Lytechinus pictus: one gene and its partner. The main gene of each other region encodes a partner of the protein of the gene in region 2 in a complex. Links are inferred from orthologs where the notes say so. Each region holds a gene or a part of one and is shown on either strand. Other genes may lie near its edges.

Region 1 (7,604 bases), on a different chromosome or scaffold from region 2:
ATTGGGGAAAGCAAAGGATGCTAATTTAAATCATAAATATTCACATGGTGATTTTGTATATGAATCATTAGATGATATTGTTAACGGTTTTAATGATTATTTTGTTAATGTTGGGCAGGAACAAGCATTAAAAATACCACATACCACAACTAATTTTGCAGATTATTTACGCAATTCATGTCAACATACATTGTTTTTAATCCAACAAATTCTGAGGAAATATTGAAAATCGTAAACAATCTTAAAAACAGTCGTTCTTTTGGACATGACGAGATTAGTAATTTTCTCCTTAAAAAGATTATATTAAGCATTATAACTCCTTTTGTTCATATATGTAATATTTCAATGTCAACCGGAATTTGTCCACTTCATATGAAAATTGCGAAAATCATTCCGTTTTATAAAAAGGACGATCGGACACTCATTGAGAATTATCGCCCTATCTCTATTCTTTCGTCATTTTCAAAAATACTTGAACGTCTTGTTTACAATAGATTAGTTTCATTTTTGTCATTACATAATTTATTAAATCCATCCCAATATGGTTTTCGCAAATTTCATTCTGCTGATCTAGCTCTTGTTGATCTTTATGATAAAATTTCTTCTCTTTTAGCAAAAAAGGAACATGTAATTTGTGTTTTCATGGACTTAAGTAAAGCGTTCGATACCCTGGATCATACTATATTGCTTTACAAATTAAAATATTTTGGTGTTAGAAGTACTACTCTTAATTGGTTTAATAGTTATATTTCAAATAGGCAACAATTTACATGTATAAATTCAGTAAGTTCTAATTCACAGTATATTAATTGTGGTGTGCCTCAAGGCTCAATTCTGGGCCCGCTTTTATTTCTTCTGTATATAAATGACATAGTATATTCTTCACCCTTATTACAATATATTCTGTATGCTGATGACACAACAGTTATTTCTTCAAACTCGAATAAAAGAATGCTTTTTGAAATGTTGAATAATGAATTGCCCAAAATATCCACATGGTTCCAAAGTAATAAATTGTCTTTAAATTTGCAAAAAAACATATTATATTGATTTCAAGAACTCCAAAACAATAGCTAATCATTATACAGAAGAAATAAAGATAAGTGGGATTTCTATCGGACAAAAAAATAATGTGAGATTTTTAGGTGTCATTCTAGATGAGTTTTTAACATGTGATGACCATGTATCTAAAATATTGACGTCTGTATCAAGATGTATAGGTATAATGTTTAAAGTTAAACACTATTTACCTCCTCAAGCATTACTCTCAATTTATAATTCTATTTTACTTCCACATATCACTTATTGCAATATTGTATGGGGCTCATTCAAATAAAAAAATCACCATATCCTTTTACTTCAAAAGAAAGCTATTCGTTTGTGTGCCGACGCTGGTTTTTATGAAAATACTGGTCCCCTCTTTAACCGTTTCAAGACTTTAAAATTGATGATATACATAAATTTCAAATTGCTTTGTTTATGTTTAAGTTTCACTGTCGCCAATTACCATTAACATTTGATCATATGTTCCTTTTGAATTCGTTTATTCATAAATATCCTACGAGAACCTCAACAAATTTACATTTATAAAATCCGCTAACTGCCTTAGCCCATAGGTCAATAAGACATACTGGTCCAGATACCTGGAATGATATAGCTTTAACAATACGTGGTGCTCCTACATTGAACAAATTTAAGTTTGAGTTTAAGCATTCCATTATTAGCACTTATTTGAGTTAAGATATTGTTCTATCATCAGTTTCATGACTTTCATCTTATTGCATACTTTATTTTTTGTATTATTTTATACGACGTATCTATGTTAAACATAGTAATATTAATCGATACACGGCTGGTGTGTTATTATCATTTGATTTATTCTTGACATGCTTGATGTGTTTTCCTTTTGGCCCTGCTTTTACTGTAATTTTTAAATATGACTTATATTGATTTTATTCAGGGCCGTAGTCTTTCTTGAGGGGCGTCCTTTTCAAGCCTTGTGCTTATGACTGTTCCCTCCCATGCAATGATTGTTTATTGTTATTTTACCATGAGATATTGTCAATATATTTTCTGTTGTATGATTTATTTTTGCATGGAAATAAAGAATCAATCAATCAATCAATCAATATTCTTTTGAGAAACTAAATTGTCATGATACTACCCTCACTATCATGTGAACATAAAATTGGGTATAAAAGAAATCTACCTGTCTTCAATTTTTTCTATATATTCTTTTAAAAATTATCATTGTGGACCTAACCCCTTTTGCAAGTAAACTGAAATGAATCCAATCTATTTTGATTAAAAAGGTGATTTTTCTTTGCCACTTTTATTCATGTTTTCATGTAAATTTCAAATTGTCTTTGTTTTCATCAAAGCGACTAAAAATTTAGAGGTTTGAGACAGAAAACAATAGCATTTATGAACAATGGACCTACCCCCTTTTGACAAATGAGCTCTTCAGAAGAGTTTGTTTGCAAAAGGGGCTAGGTCCACTCCAAGAAAATATTTTTTTTTAATTCTCCTATATTGCATATTCTTATGCGAAACTAAATTTTAAAGATTCCCTACCATGACAACATAAAATTGGGTATAAAAGAAATCTACCTTTATTCATATTTTTTAATATATTCTTTTCCAAAAAAAAAATCGGTGTTGACCTAACCCCTTTTGCAACTAAACTAAAATGGACCTAACCCCTTTTGAAAAAAAAGTGATTTTTCTTTGCCATTTTTGATCACTTTCAAATAGGAATTTCAACTTTTCTTTGGTATCATCTTATAGAGCTACTAAAAATCTATACATTGAGACCAAAAAATCAGATTTGATGAAAAATTGACCTAACCCCTTTTGCAAGTGAGCTCTTCATAATTTATACATTTTCCGTGATGTGATAATTTCACACCACTTGAAAGATGTTTTTGGACATCATATTTTGTCTCCAACTATTAGGCCTACTCGATGGCACGCATATTGATATTAATTGTAAATCATTACATATGCCATTAAAAAAAAATCGTTCTTGATCTGTCGATGGTAGTATTATGTTCATGGTCCCATACCCCCGTATACATGCCTACATAGCCCTTGGTGTTGGGGTGTCCCAAAATTTTTGAATTTTCAGATCAATATATTGCTTCACCCCCCCCCCATGCACAGCTCGGACTGGATTTACGCCAGTCATTCTTTTTATTTTTCAGTATGTCTTGAGGTTTGTCAAATATAAATCAGTCTATCATCCACTTTCAAAGAACAAACAGTCAGTCAATCAATCAATCTATCAATCAATAACGAACACTCAATCAACCTGTCTATCAATCTATCACTAAACCAAAAGCCCTAAATCATAATTATGTTTGGTTTTACGGCTTCAGTATACAGCACCGTTCGCGTCCGAAACAAATCCGAGTATACCGTCCGGGGAGTCCGGGGGATTGACCCTACATGAAGCCCATCAAGTTATCCTGCCCTGCTTGCTACCAAGTCACTGTGATCATCATGAATTACTTTGAAACAACTTTCATTTTCTTTGAAAATGACCGGTAGAGAAAAGGAGAAGTCAGACAAGCAGGTAAGAGAAAGTTGTGAACACTCGGGCTAAACGATCAAGGGGACATTATAGCCAGGGGTAGGTCTATAAACCCTGGAAAGGTGGTCTCCCATGCAGATGACTGACATTTAATAAATATTGTGTCAAGCCATTAAAAAAAAACAAATGAGCAAAGCAACCGTGCTCACCAAAAGGGATTTTTTGCATTTTTATTGCTGAAATTTTAAATATTTGGTGAAATATTTTTTAATTTATTAAGCGCTTCCCTATTTTTTAAATGTACTTCTTGAGTTATTAATTAATTAATCAATTATTTATTTATTTATTCATTTATTTATTTATTTATTTATTTATTCATTTATTTATGTATTTATTTATTCATTCATTTTATTTAACTATTTTTTTTCCGATATTTATTCATTCAATTTTATTTCTTCGTCTCATTCTTCTTCTCTTCTCCTGCTCTTTTTCCTTTTCCTTTTTCTTCTTCTTCTTCTTCTTCTCTATGTGTTTCTGCTACTAATTCTTCTTCTTTTTCATTATCTTCATCTTCTATAATTATGCTTCGTCTTTATCAAGCAGTCAATCAACCGAATTGAAAATAATTTTTAAGGGATTCGTTAAAACGTATTTGAGGTTTCTAATCTTTCGCTATTGTTATTTGTGGCTTCACAAATAAAATACATCAGTCTATTTATATTAATTAATTTTCATTCATTTCATACTATAGTCGTATGTTTATTATAAGAAAAATCTGCTTTCCAAATGCGCTCTATGTACTTCTACAAAAAACATCAACAATGAATCAATCAATCAATCGAACCCATTGAATAAACTTTCGTATATTTATTTTTTGAAATAATTGTTTAATAGAAATAACTTAAATTCTGTTCAAGGTTTCTTTCTTGATATTCATTTGTCATTATTGTATTTTGTCAATCAATCAACTTTTATTGAACAATGAATGAGAGAAGTCTAGCGCCATCTACTGGTATACTGCAATTTTGTGGACGTGCTCGCTCTGGCATAATAATGTGCATGCATTGCTGGGCCAAGCGCTCGGCATCCCGCTCCAGCGCCCGCGTAGCTTTCCATATCACCCAACGCGCCGTTCGCCCAGGCCAGCTAGCTGCCCGCCGCGTATATATTTAGCACGAGTATTCACTTCGACTTCATTCGAGCACTGCGGCAGAGCCGAAGAGAGTAGAAACAGTCTTAAATTTCTTCTTTTGAAACCGTGAGTATTCTACTTTCTTATGTTTAAACGGTTGGTAAAATTCAATCTTCTAGAAGAAAAAAATGAGGAATGGATGGTGACTTGGGCTTTTGATTAAAAAACGCGAAATTTGTGAGAGGGTGAACGAAAAGTTGACTGTCATTTCAATTTTTGCTTGCATAAGATGTGTGTTGCACGTGGGTGAATGCCGGGTTGTCGTGTTTCAAGTGCAATCGGGCATTATTTTTCTTTGTTGGTTCCAATTCATGTTCTTTTGTGTGATGCATAGGAGATTTCATGGGGTTCCTATGCATTTTAATCATTGTGAATGTGATTTTTTTCCAGGGGTAGTATTCTGAGATCATATTATCTTCTAAAAAATATTTTATATTTTAAAAAGAAATTGATTGATGATTCAGTGAATTGGTAATTTTAGTGACATTTTTCTCAAATTTGAATTTTATGATTTTTTTCCTTGCATATCTGATATGCGACCTTTTTAATTAGAGCAGTGTCTGTGTAGGAATTGTGTATCTTACCATTACAATGCGGATGATATGCTTTGGCCCAGGCCCATGTTGTTACATTGAAACTGAAACTTGAAAGAAAGATAAAGTAACCCGTGGAGGTTATTATCTCCGCGATGCTCTTGGTGAATTAGCTCCAAATGTTAAAATGAAATGATAATGAAGAAAAATAACATTATCATTGAGTCTGAGAATAATACCTTAACATTATTCCTGAAGAATAAGTAAATATTTCTTCATGTGACTTTTCTGAAATGATGCTGTAATGACGTGATATTGACAAAGAAAAAAACACTGAATATTGTAATTTCTAAAAATTTGTAAAAAAGAAATCTCTAAAAATGTGCAAGCGTATAGTGCAAGTGCATTTTTAATTCAATAAATACAATACATTGATGCAATTTTGCTCCTTTGCCACACCTAGCGGAATGGATTTTTATTGGTTGAATGAGCTGAGAGAGCTACATGTATGATGTATAAAACAGTATTTTTCAATCTCATTGGATGTTGCTTCAAAAATAGACCGTGTGTCTTACAGACGTAAAATAAAGATGAAATGGTTGTCAGACCAATTCAGAGATATTCTAAGGGTACATGTATTTTATCTCAGTGATTTTAAAGGAGATGAAATATTTTATTTTATCTGAGATAAAATTGATCTCTGAATACCACCACAGACCAGTACCCCAGACTCTCACTTAACTCGCTAGACCGTTAAGACAAGCAGACAAAGGCAATTGGCATCTGTGACGCGTGGTCCAAACCTGTGGTCTGTGGAAAGAAAACTCTTTTTTTGTTGTTTTTTTTACAAGTAGTTTTTTATTTTGCTTATTATTTTTTTTTTTTGGAGAGTTGGGGGGGGGGGGGGGATCACATGTACTGTTTGTGCTTGTCCATTGCCATTGCTGTTGAGTAATGCATTTTCAGATCTTGCCCCTTCCCAAATGCCAAATACATAGCCATAGGCCCGATACCATAGCCATCAGTGTTTCCACTCTTCCCGAAATTTTGGGAAATTTTTACTTTTTCCAGGAAAGGTTTGGAAAATGAAAAAATTCCAGGAAATTCTGGGAAATCTGAAAATTACAATTAAACAACAATTAAATGTAGCAACTTTTAAAATTCATGTTATATTTAAAGAATTGTTTACCTCAATACTTAGCTCAAAAGTTTTCGTGCGGAGCATCCATTGTAATTTTGGTCCTATTTTTAAAGAGGGCGTGAACAAAAATGTGCTATATTCCTTGATTTGGGTCACATGGACCAACTTTAGGCTGGCTGTATTATTGCCCAATTTTTTTTAGAAATCATACTTAAAAATTCCAGGAAATGTCTATGAATTTTGGGAAATTTATTTTGGATCTGTGGAAACACTGGCCATCATGTACAAATTGTCCATTATTCTTACTGAATTTCACCTTAAAAAAAAAAAACTTGGTGTACTTTGTCGCAGCTTTATAAATGATAGACTTAGATTTTCAAAGTGGGCAAGGTGGCAGGGTAGTTTTCCCTGCTTTAGTTTTTGTCCACAGCATCTCACGACATCGCCAAAAATCTGCCACAATCATATCAAGCAATATTCAAGAATATTTAGAAAGTCAATATTCTACAATTTACATACATGTATGGGAGGATGATAATATTGGCAGATTATTATTTCTTGTTGCAAATAAATAAATAGCCCTTCAAATGAAAAAATTCCCCCCCCCAAAAAAAAAAAAATTAGCAATATCCCCAAAATGACAAAAATAGCCCCTTAAACGAAATTTTACCCCGATGTCTTGACTTTGTTGTGTTTCATTGGCTTTACACAGTGACTATCTCAATCTTTTTTTTCAATCTCATTCACAGGAAAGAAGCTGTAATATAAATCAAAGATGGCAGGTAAGGCACGTGTACAAGAACCAGCTCCTTACTTTGAGGGTACAGCAGTCAGCGCAGGCCCGGATAGTGACTTTGTCCAAATCAAATTATCAGATTACAAAGGTAATTAACAACTAATTCCAGTTCTTGAGTCAGAGCCTTTTTTTGCGCAATATCAATTCATGTTTTGAAGTTACTGCAATGTTATTTGGGTATTCGATTTGCCAAAGTTAATCGAGTTGTGCCCTTTTCATTTTGCACAAAAAAGCAGGGCAGCTCTGATGGTGAATTAAATGACATCAAATTGTCAGATTATTACAGAGGTAACTACAACCAATTCTAGTTGTTACCTTACCTAAAATTAAAAAAAGACAGCCCTCAAAACTCTGCCATCTCCCCAATGTGGGAAAACCAGAACCAAGATGGAGCCATAGGGCAAGGCAAG
Region 2 (6,875 bases):
TGGATCACGTATATGAAGGCATCTTTAGCAAGAATAAATTAACTAGAATTGTGGCAATTTCAAGAAATCTGTTTGTAAATTTACAGGTAAATTAGGCCTACTTTTCTTGTTAGTAGTGGTATTTTACCCTAAATAACAGAATTCTGACCAGCATAAAAGACAATGTGCATTGACCGCTATCTACTTCAACTTATTGATGATGGTATTTTTTGTTAATAGTGTAGTAATGTTTCATTAGTATAACTGATACTGAAAAGGAAGACCTTCGGGTTATAGTTATTTAATCTTTTTCCTTTCCCGGCATCCATGTGACTCTCCTATTCCTATTGTTTGTATATATGTTGTTTATGTGTTTGATTATGCCGAATAAATAATAATAATAATAATGATACCAATTATCAATGACATCTACAATAACATAACTTACATGTACATCTAAGGTACATCCTTTTCTTAAACTGTACAATCTACGTTCTGAAACCACCATCTTTGTCTCCTGTGGAAAGAGTAGTGGATTAAGACATCCCACCCCAATCCAATCTGCCACATAAACTTCTGTCCTTGCAAAACCCCAGTGATACTAAGCTTACCACAGAACAACTCTGTTTGGTACCGCAAAATTGAAAATAGCTTTAAGAACGGACCTACTGAAGCTTTTCAACATGCACTCATCGGAGTAAAATCGCATGAATGACTATAATGCTAGAGCAAGACAATTTTTCAAAATAAAAAAAATTGGATTCCCTTTGATTTTTGGAGACAGTTCCTGCATATTCTGATTGAATCTGAATCAAGTAACAATACTCGGATTTGGCAGGATTCATTTAAATAATTAATACAAATTTGCAAATTTTCATTACAGTAGTGCCAATCGGAAATTCAGCAACAACACTACTAACTTTTTAGCTCTTGCATGCAGCCTTGGTAAAGTTTTTATTTATTCTTTGAATTATTTTTTTGTTGCCAAAGGCAAAAACTACAGGGGTAATCATTAGCTTGCATTTTCTCAGACTTGTTGCATGATTCTGTCAATGATTCATTCTGCACCATTACCATGATATTGATGATTATTGTGCGACAACAATACACCTGTAGACCTTTTATTTTCTCCTGGGCTGCTGCCTGCTATAGTGCCATCAATTAACAATTACAATTTACATGTATGGAAGGGGGCCCTAAAGCTATGCACCACTCATCGCGCAATGCAGTTTTTAATGGCAAATACGCACTCTGTGTGTTGGACTGTGACTGCAGAGTGATGAACGATTCCTATTCAATTTTTTCTACAGAGGCTGCAGTAAAATGCAGAGAAAACCCACAACTGTTTGGAATTTTTGAGTTATATTTGCTTTAATTTCATATAATCCTATACCAATATGAACATATTTAGAAAATTGAGAGTTTTGAGACACATGAGATACTATTTTTTGCATGATAAATCGAGTGCGTAGCTTTAGGACCCCTTCTAGTAGTTCTACATCAGGTGGCGAAATCAAGTTCAGAAAACATGGCAGGATTTACATAATCTTATACTAGTTATAGTGATTCTTTTTCTTCTTCCTGGTTAATGATCTTTATATTATAAATAGAATTTTTGCCACAATATTAGTGAAAGATAATTTGTTAAAATATCAAAATTTGCATTGTTTTTCTGATATCGTTTGTAAACAAACTGCGTAGCTTTAGGTGCCCCCCCCCCCCCCCATCATACATGATTATAATATATTTATAAAGCTGAATACTTACCGGAGGTTGCTTGGACGGGCCGGGGAATCGCTTGCGAGCTCGATTGACAACGTACTGCACTGCACTGTAGCCGGATAGGATACGGGCGCGTCGTCAAGAATCAGGAAGAAAATAGTTTCATTATCACGACAAAATACTATTCAGGATTAATATTTTGCACATTCATGAAGCCATGACGGATAGCAGTAGAGTATAGTGAACGATACAAGCAACATTTGCAATACTACATTCCAGATATTGGCTACGAATTTATTGTACCAGATTCAAATGAAATACCGGTACGTCGGTATGAGGCGCCGAATGTACCAATATTATATAGAACAATTATTTGTTATATAATCATTATTTATTAAATAATAACTATTATTTATATATAATTTACATTTTATTTGTAAATAACTACTATTATATAAAATATCATTTCTAATTATTTATATATAATTCCAAGTAATACTTCATTATTTGTAAATAATAATAGTTCGACATTCCATTATTTATAAATAATGATTATTTGTTTTTCATTATTTATAAATAATGATTATTTGTTTTTCATTATTTATAAATAATGATTATTTGTTTTTCATTATTTATAAATAATGATTATTTGTTTTTCATTATTTACAAATAATGATTATTTGTTTTTCATTATTTATAAATAATGATTATTTGTTTTTCATTATTTATAAATAATGATTATTTGTTTTTCATTATTTACAAATAATGATTATTTGTTTTTCATTATTTATAAATAATGATTATTTGTTTTTCATTATTTATAAATAATGATAATTGGTTTTTCATTATTTATAAATAATGATTATTTGTTTTTCATTATTTATAAATAATGATTATTTGTTTTTCATTATTTATAAATAATTTGTTGAGTTTTCCATTATTTATAAATAATGATTATTTGTTAAATAATGAAAACGTCTACTTCATTATTTATAAATAATTTTTTCGAGTGCACCATTATTCTCATTATTTATAAATAATCATTATTTAATGTTCGAGTTTTCCATTATTTATAAATAAAGATTATTTGTTAAATAATGAAATATCTACTTCATTATTTATAAATAATAATTTTGTTTCAATATCCATTATTTATAAATAATCATTATTTATATACAAATAACCATTATTTAATAAATAATGGCATTATTTAATAAATAATGGCATTATTTAATAAATAATGATTATTTGTATATAATGGCAAACTGTAAAAATTGTTTATAAATAATGATTAATGGGATATTGAAACAAAATTATTATTTATAAATAATGAAGTAGATATTTCATTATTTAACAAATAATCTTTATTTATAAATAATGGAAAACTCGAACATTAAATAATGATTATTTATAAATAATGAGAATAATGGTGCACTCGAAAAAATTATTTATAAATAATGAAGTAGACGTTTTCATTATTTAACAAATAATCATTATTTATAAATAATGGAAAACTCAACAAATTATTTATAAATAATGAAAAACAAATAATCATTATTTATAAATAATGAAAAACAAATAATCATTATTTGTAAATAATGAAAAACAAATAATCATTATTTATAAATAATGAAAAACCAATTATCATTATTTATAAATAATGAAAAACAAATAATCATTATTTATAAATAATGAAAAACAAATAATCATTATTTGTAAATAATGAAAAACAAATAATCATTATTTATAAATAATGAAAAACAAATAATCATTATTTATAAATAATGAAAAAACAAATAATCATTATTTGTAAATAATGAAAAACAAATAATCATTATTTATAAATAATGAAAAACAAATAATCATTATTTATAAATAATGAAAAACAAATAATCATTATTTATAAATAATGGAATGTCGAACTATTATTATTTACAAATAATGAAGTATTACTTGGAATTATATATAAATAATTAGAAATGATATTTTATATAATAGTAGTTATTTACAAATAAAATGTAAATTATATATAAATAATAGTTATTATTTAATAAATAATGATTATATAACAAATAATTGTTCTATATAATATTGGTACATTCGGCGCCTCATACGTCGGTGCAAAATAATGGTGGATTCTGTTTTTGTTTGTTTTCGTGTCACGCCTGGTTAGTCTTCTTCAAGAGTTGATACAAATAAAATAGAGGTTGATCTTGTTATTTTCATTACAACAACAACAAAAATCGACAAATCTGTTCAAAATACTTCAATATATATTTTTGATATTGAATAAAAACATATGAAATATCATTTTATATAATACTGTCGTCGAAAGGAATTAAAATGATCATATGAAGACGTCGAAATAGACTAGGCACACGGGGAATTTCCCCCAAATTTATTATCATCAGAATGTGGTTATTACGAGGAGGAACATTAGTTTTAGCACACTCGAGAAGGGCATCATATTCAGGAAGTTGTATTCCTCGTGCGGTCTCTGGAGCCTTGAGAGATTTACTAAATCCGCTGCAAGAAATAAAAAGCTTCAAGATGGCTGCAGCAGGAGAACAAAGATGGAACTCGGATAGTGCAGCTCTTCGCGAAGAAATCTCAAAGGCAAAACACATCGTATTTATGACAGGTGCTGGAGCCAGTGCCGAGAGTGGAGTACCAACGTTCCGAGGAGCGGGAGGGTTCTGGCGGAAGTGGCAAGCGCAGGTATGTGCATAGACGGCAATGTTCTGTCAGTATGACTAAGTTATAGTCAATATTCTTAACGGGTATGTTAACAAGTCGATTGAAGTTTATTTTGCTACCTTCAAAGTTCAAGAAATATTTATAAAAATTAGAATCATTGCATGACATTGGATATACCATGTGAGTAAAAAAAAACTTGACACCTCACACTAAGAAAAAAATATGTCATGAAAATGCATAATCATTATACATGGCTGGAAAAAGGAAAGAGTATCAACTCCCAATTAATTTAATATCTTATTTATGTGGTATGTCACTATGTGTTAATGCCTGGATGATCAGGAGTTATTCTTTGCTGTGATGTAAATTTTGACTTTTGCCAAAGTAAGGCATGACTGCAATGAATGAATCCAGATGCCAATGATGTCATATCCGACATGAGTTACAGTTAGTAAACATATTCGCAAATCGCTTTTCAATCAAATTATCAAAAAGGTGTTTTGAAATGGATGTTAGTGCAACCAGTGTATGATTATCTGGCTGCATTCATTGCAGTCATGCCTTACTTTGGCGTAAATCAAACTTAACACCACTGCAGGAATACCTCCTGATCATACAAGCTTTTACACATCACTGACATACGGCCAACCACATATGTATGGTATCAAATTATTTGGGAGAACATACTCTTTCAGGCCATATATAATAATTGTGTGTTCATGACATGATTTTTTTCAGGATTTGTGAAATGTCAATTTATTTTACTCAAACTGTATTATGAGATCAGGATTGATGACTTTTCATAGGTTAGTGAAAGACTTTTGAGGACTTACAAAAGTATTTGTAAATCTGCAATCAAAGAATTCCAGTAAGAATTCCAGTCTTTTACCACTCTGGTGACACTGATGTTTTCATGAACATTTTTTATAAGGGCGATGAGTGGTATCCTAATTTTGAATAGATGCAAATGTATGATTTGCTTTTTATTCTAGCAACTTGCCACTCCAGAAGCATTTCAGGATAACCCTTCTCTGGTTTGGGAGTTCTACCATTACAGACGGGAAGTGATGATTACCAAACATCCAAACAAGGGCCACATTGTGAGTAAGGACAGTGGTGAGAGGTATCAGTACGATTGATTTAATCAGGAAGTCGTGGTGTTTATTGGAATTTGTGATAAGAAAGAAGTGGGAGTAACTTAGGTGGTGGAAAAGACATACACTGAAAAATGATGATGATGATGATGATGATGAGGACGATGATGATGATGGTGATAGTGACGATAATTGTGATAGTTATATTGTTGATGTTGATGATGATGATGATGTGATAGTGAAGATGATTGTGATAGTTATAATGATGGTGATGATGATGGTGATGACAGTGATGGTAGTGATGTTAATGATGATATTGTTGGTGATGATTATGATGATGATGATGATGGTTATGATGATGATGATAGCGATGATCAATGATAATGATGGTGATAGTTATGAGGATGGTAATATTGATGATGATGATTGATGATGGTGGTGATAGTGATGACGATGGTGATGATGGTGGTGGTGATATGATGATAATGAAGATAACATTGATCATGATGATAGTGGTGTTGGTAGTTTGGGTGTACTGGTGGCAGGGCAGTTGTGGTTATGCATTATGATTGTGATGTTATATTATAATTTATACCATGATGATAATGATTGTGCTGCTAATGGTGATGGTGATGCACATATGCAATGATTGAAATAATGATGTTGATGGTGATGATGAATTGATGATTAAAAGGAGAGGGAGATGATTGATAATTAGATTGCTAAAATACAGGTTGATGATAGAGATTATATGTAAGAAATGGACAGGGGTGTTGATGTGATTATGATATGATGTATTATCTGCAACTGTTTTCAATGACTTGCAATCTTGAAACTGGTTAAATATGTGCACCTACATCAATCACACCCTCTGCTTCATTTGACATTGGTTGTAATTGCCACAGGTAAAAAGTAAAACAATATTGCTCAATAATCATATTTTGTTGTCAATTAAAAATGTTGAAATAAATTGGTGAGCATTCAGTAAATGACATCTGCTGAAATTAATTTTTTCCTTCAATTTTCCCCCAGGCTATTGCAGATTTTGAGAAACGGCTTAGTAAGCAGGGTCGTAGAGTAGTAGTCATCACCCAAAATATAGATGAACTTCATCGACAAGCTGGTTCAACCAATGTTATAGAGATGCATGGTAAGATTTTTTTATCTGTTAAATTATTCTTATGTTCTTCTGATCACTCCTTTTCTTCTGGTTTTATTTTGTAGTTTAAAAAAAATTAATTTCCTTCTGATTTTTTTTTTCTATATTATTTTTTCATAATTTATTTTAATATGCTATGAGTTTTTATTGAACTGACGGTTGTGAACTAATATATTCCTTTTATATATTTTCATTCCTAAAAAAGAAGAGTAAATGTATGAACG

The links. Proteins that work in one complex are often made in the same cells at the same time.
Region 1: the proteins of NAD-dependent protein deacylase sirtuin-5A, mitochondrial-like (region 2) and peroxiredoxin-1-like are in contact, whole or in part, in a crystal structure (PDB 8Z54), measured with the Homo sapiens proteins. The link is inferred for Lytechinus pictus from reciprocal best matches to the Homo sapiens genes SIRT5 and PRDX1. Residues at the interface, in NP_001363727.1 of Homo sapiens: Ala86, Tyr102, Arg105, Gln140, Ile142, His158, Val220, Val221, Trp222, Phe223, Gly224, Glu225, Asn226, Leu227, Leu232, Val253, Val254, Tyr255, Pro256; in NP_001189360.1 of Homo sapiens: Phe195, Ser196, Lys197, Gln198.

What each region holds. Positions count from the first base shown.
Region 1 is NC_087255.1:28,701,248-28,708,851, reverse strand, and holds the start of peroxiredoxin-1-like, read left to right. Parts: upstream 1-4,579; 5' UTR 4,580-4,790; intron 4,791-7,147; 5' UTR 7,148-7,173; coding exon 7,174-7,282; intron 7,283-7,604. UniProt on the Homo sapiens protein: Thiol-specific peroxidase that catalyzes the reduction of hydrogen peroxide and organic hydroperoxides to water and alcohols, respectively.
Region 2 is NC_087256.1:12,834,755-12,841,629, reverse strand, and holds the start of NAD-dependent protein deacylase sirtuin-5A, mitochondrial-like, read left to right. Parts: upstream 1-3,874; 5' UTR 3,875-4,113; coding exon 4,114-4,419; intron 4,420-5,390; coding exon 5,391-5,498; intron 5,499-6,524; coding exon 6,525-6,642; intron 6,643-6,875. UniProt on the Homo sapiens protein: NAD-dependent lysine demalonylase, desuccinylase and deglutarylase that specifically removes malonyl, succinyl and glutaryl groups on target proteins.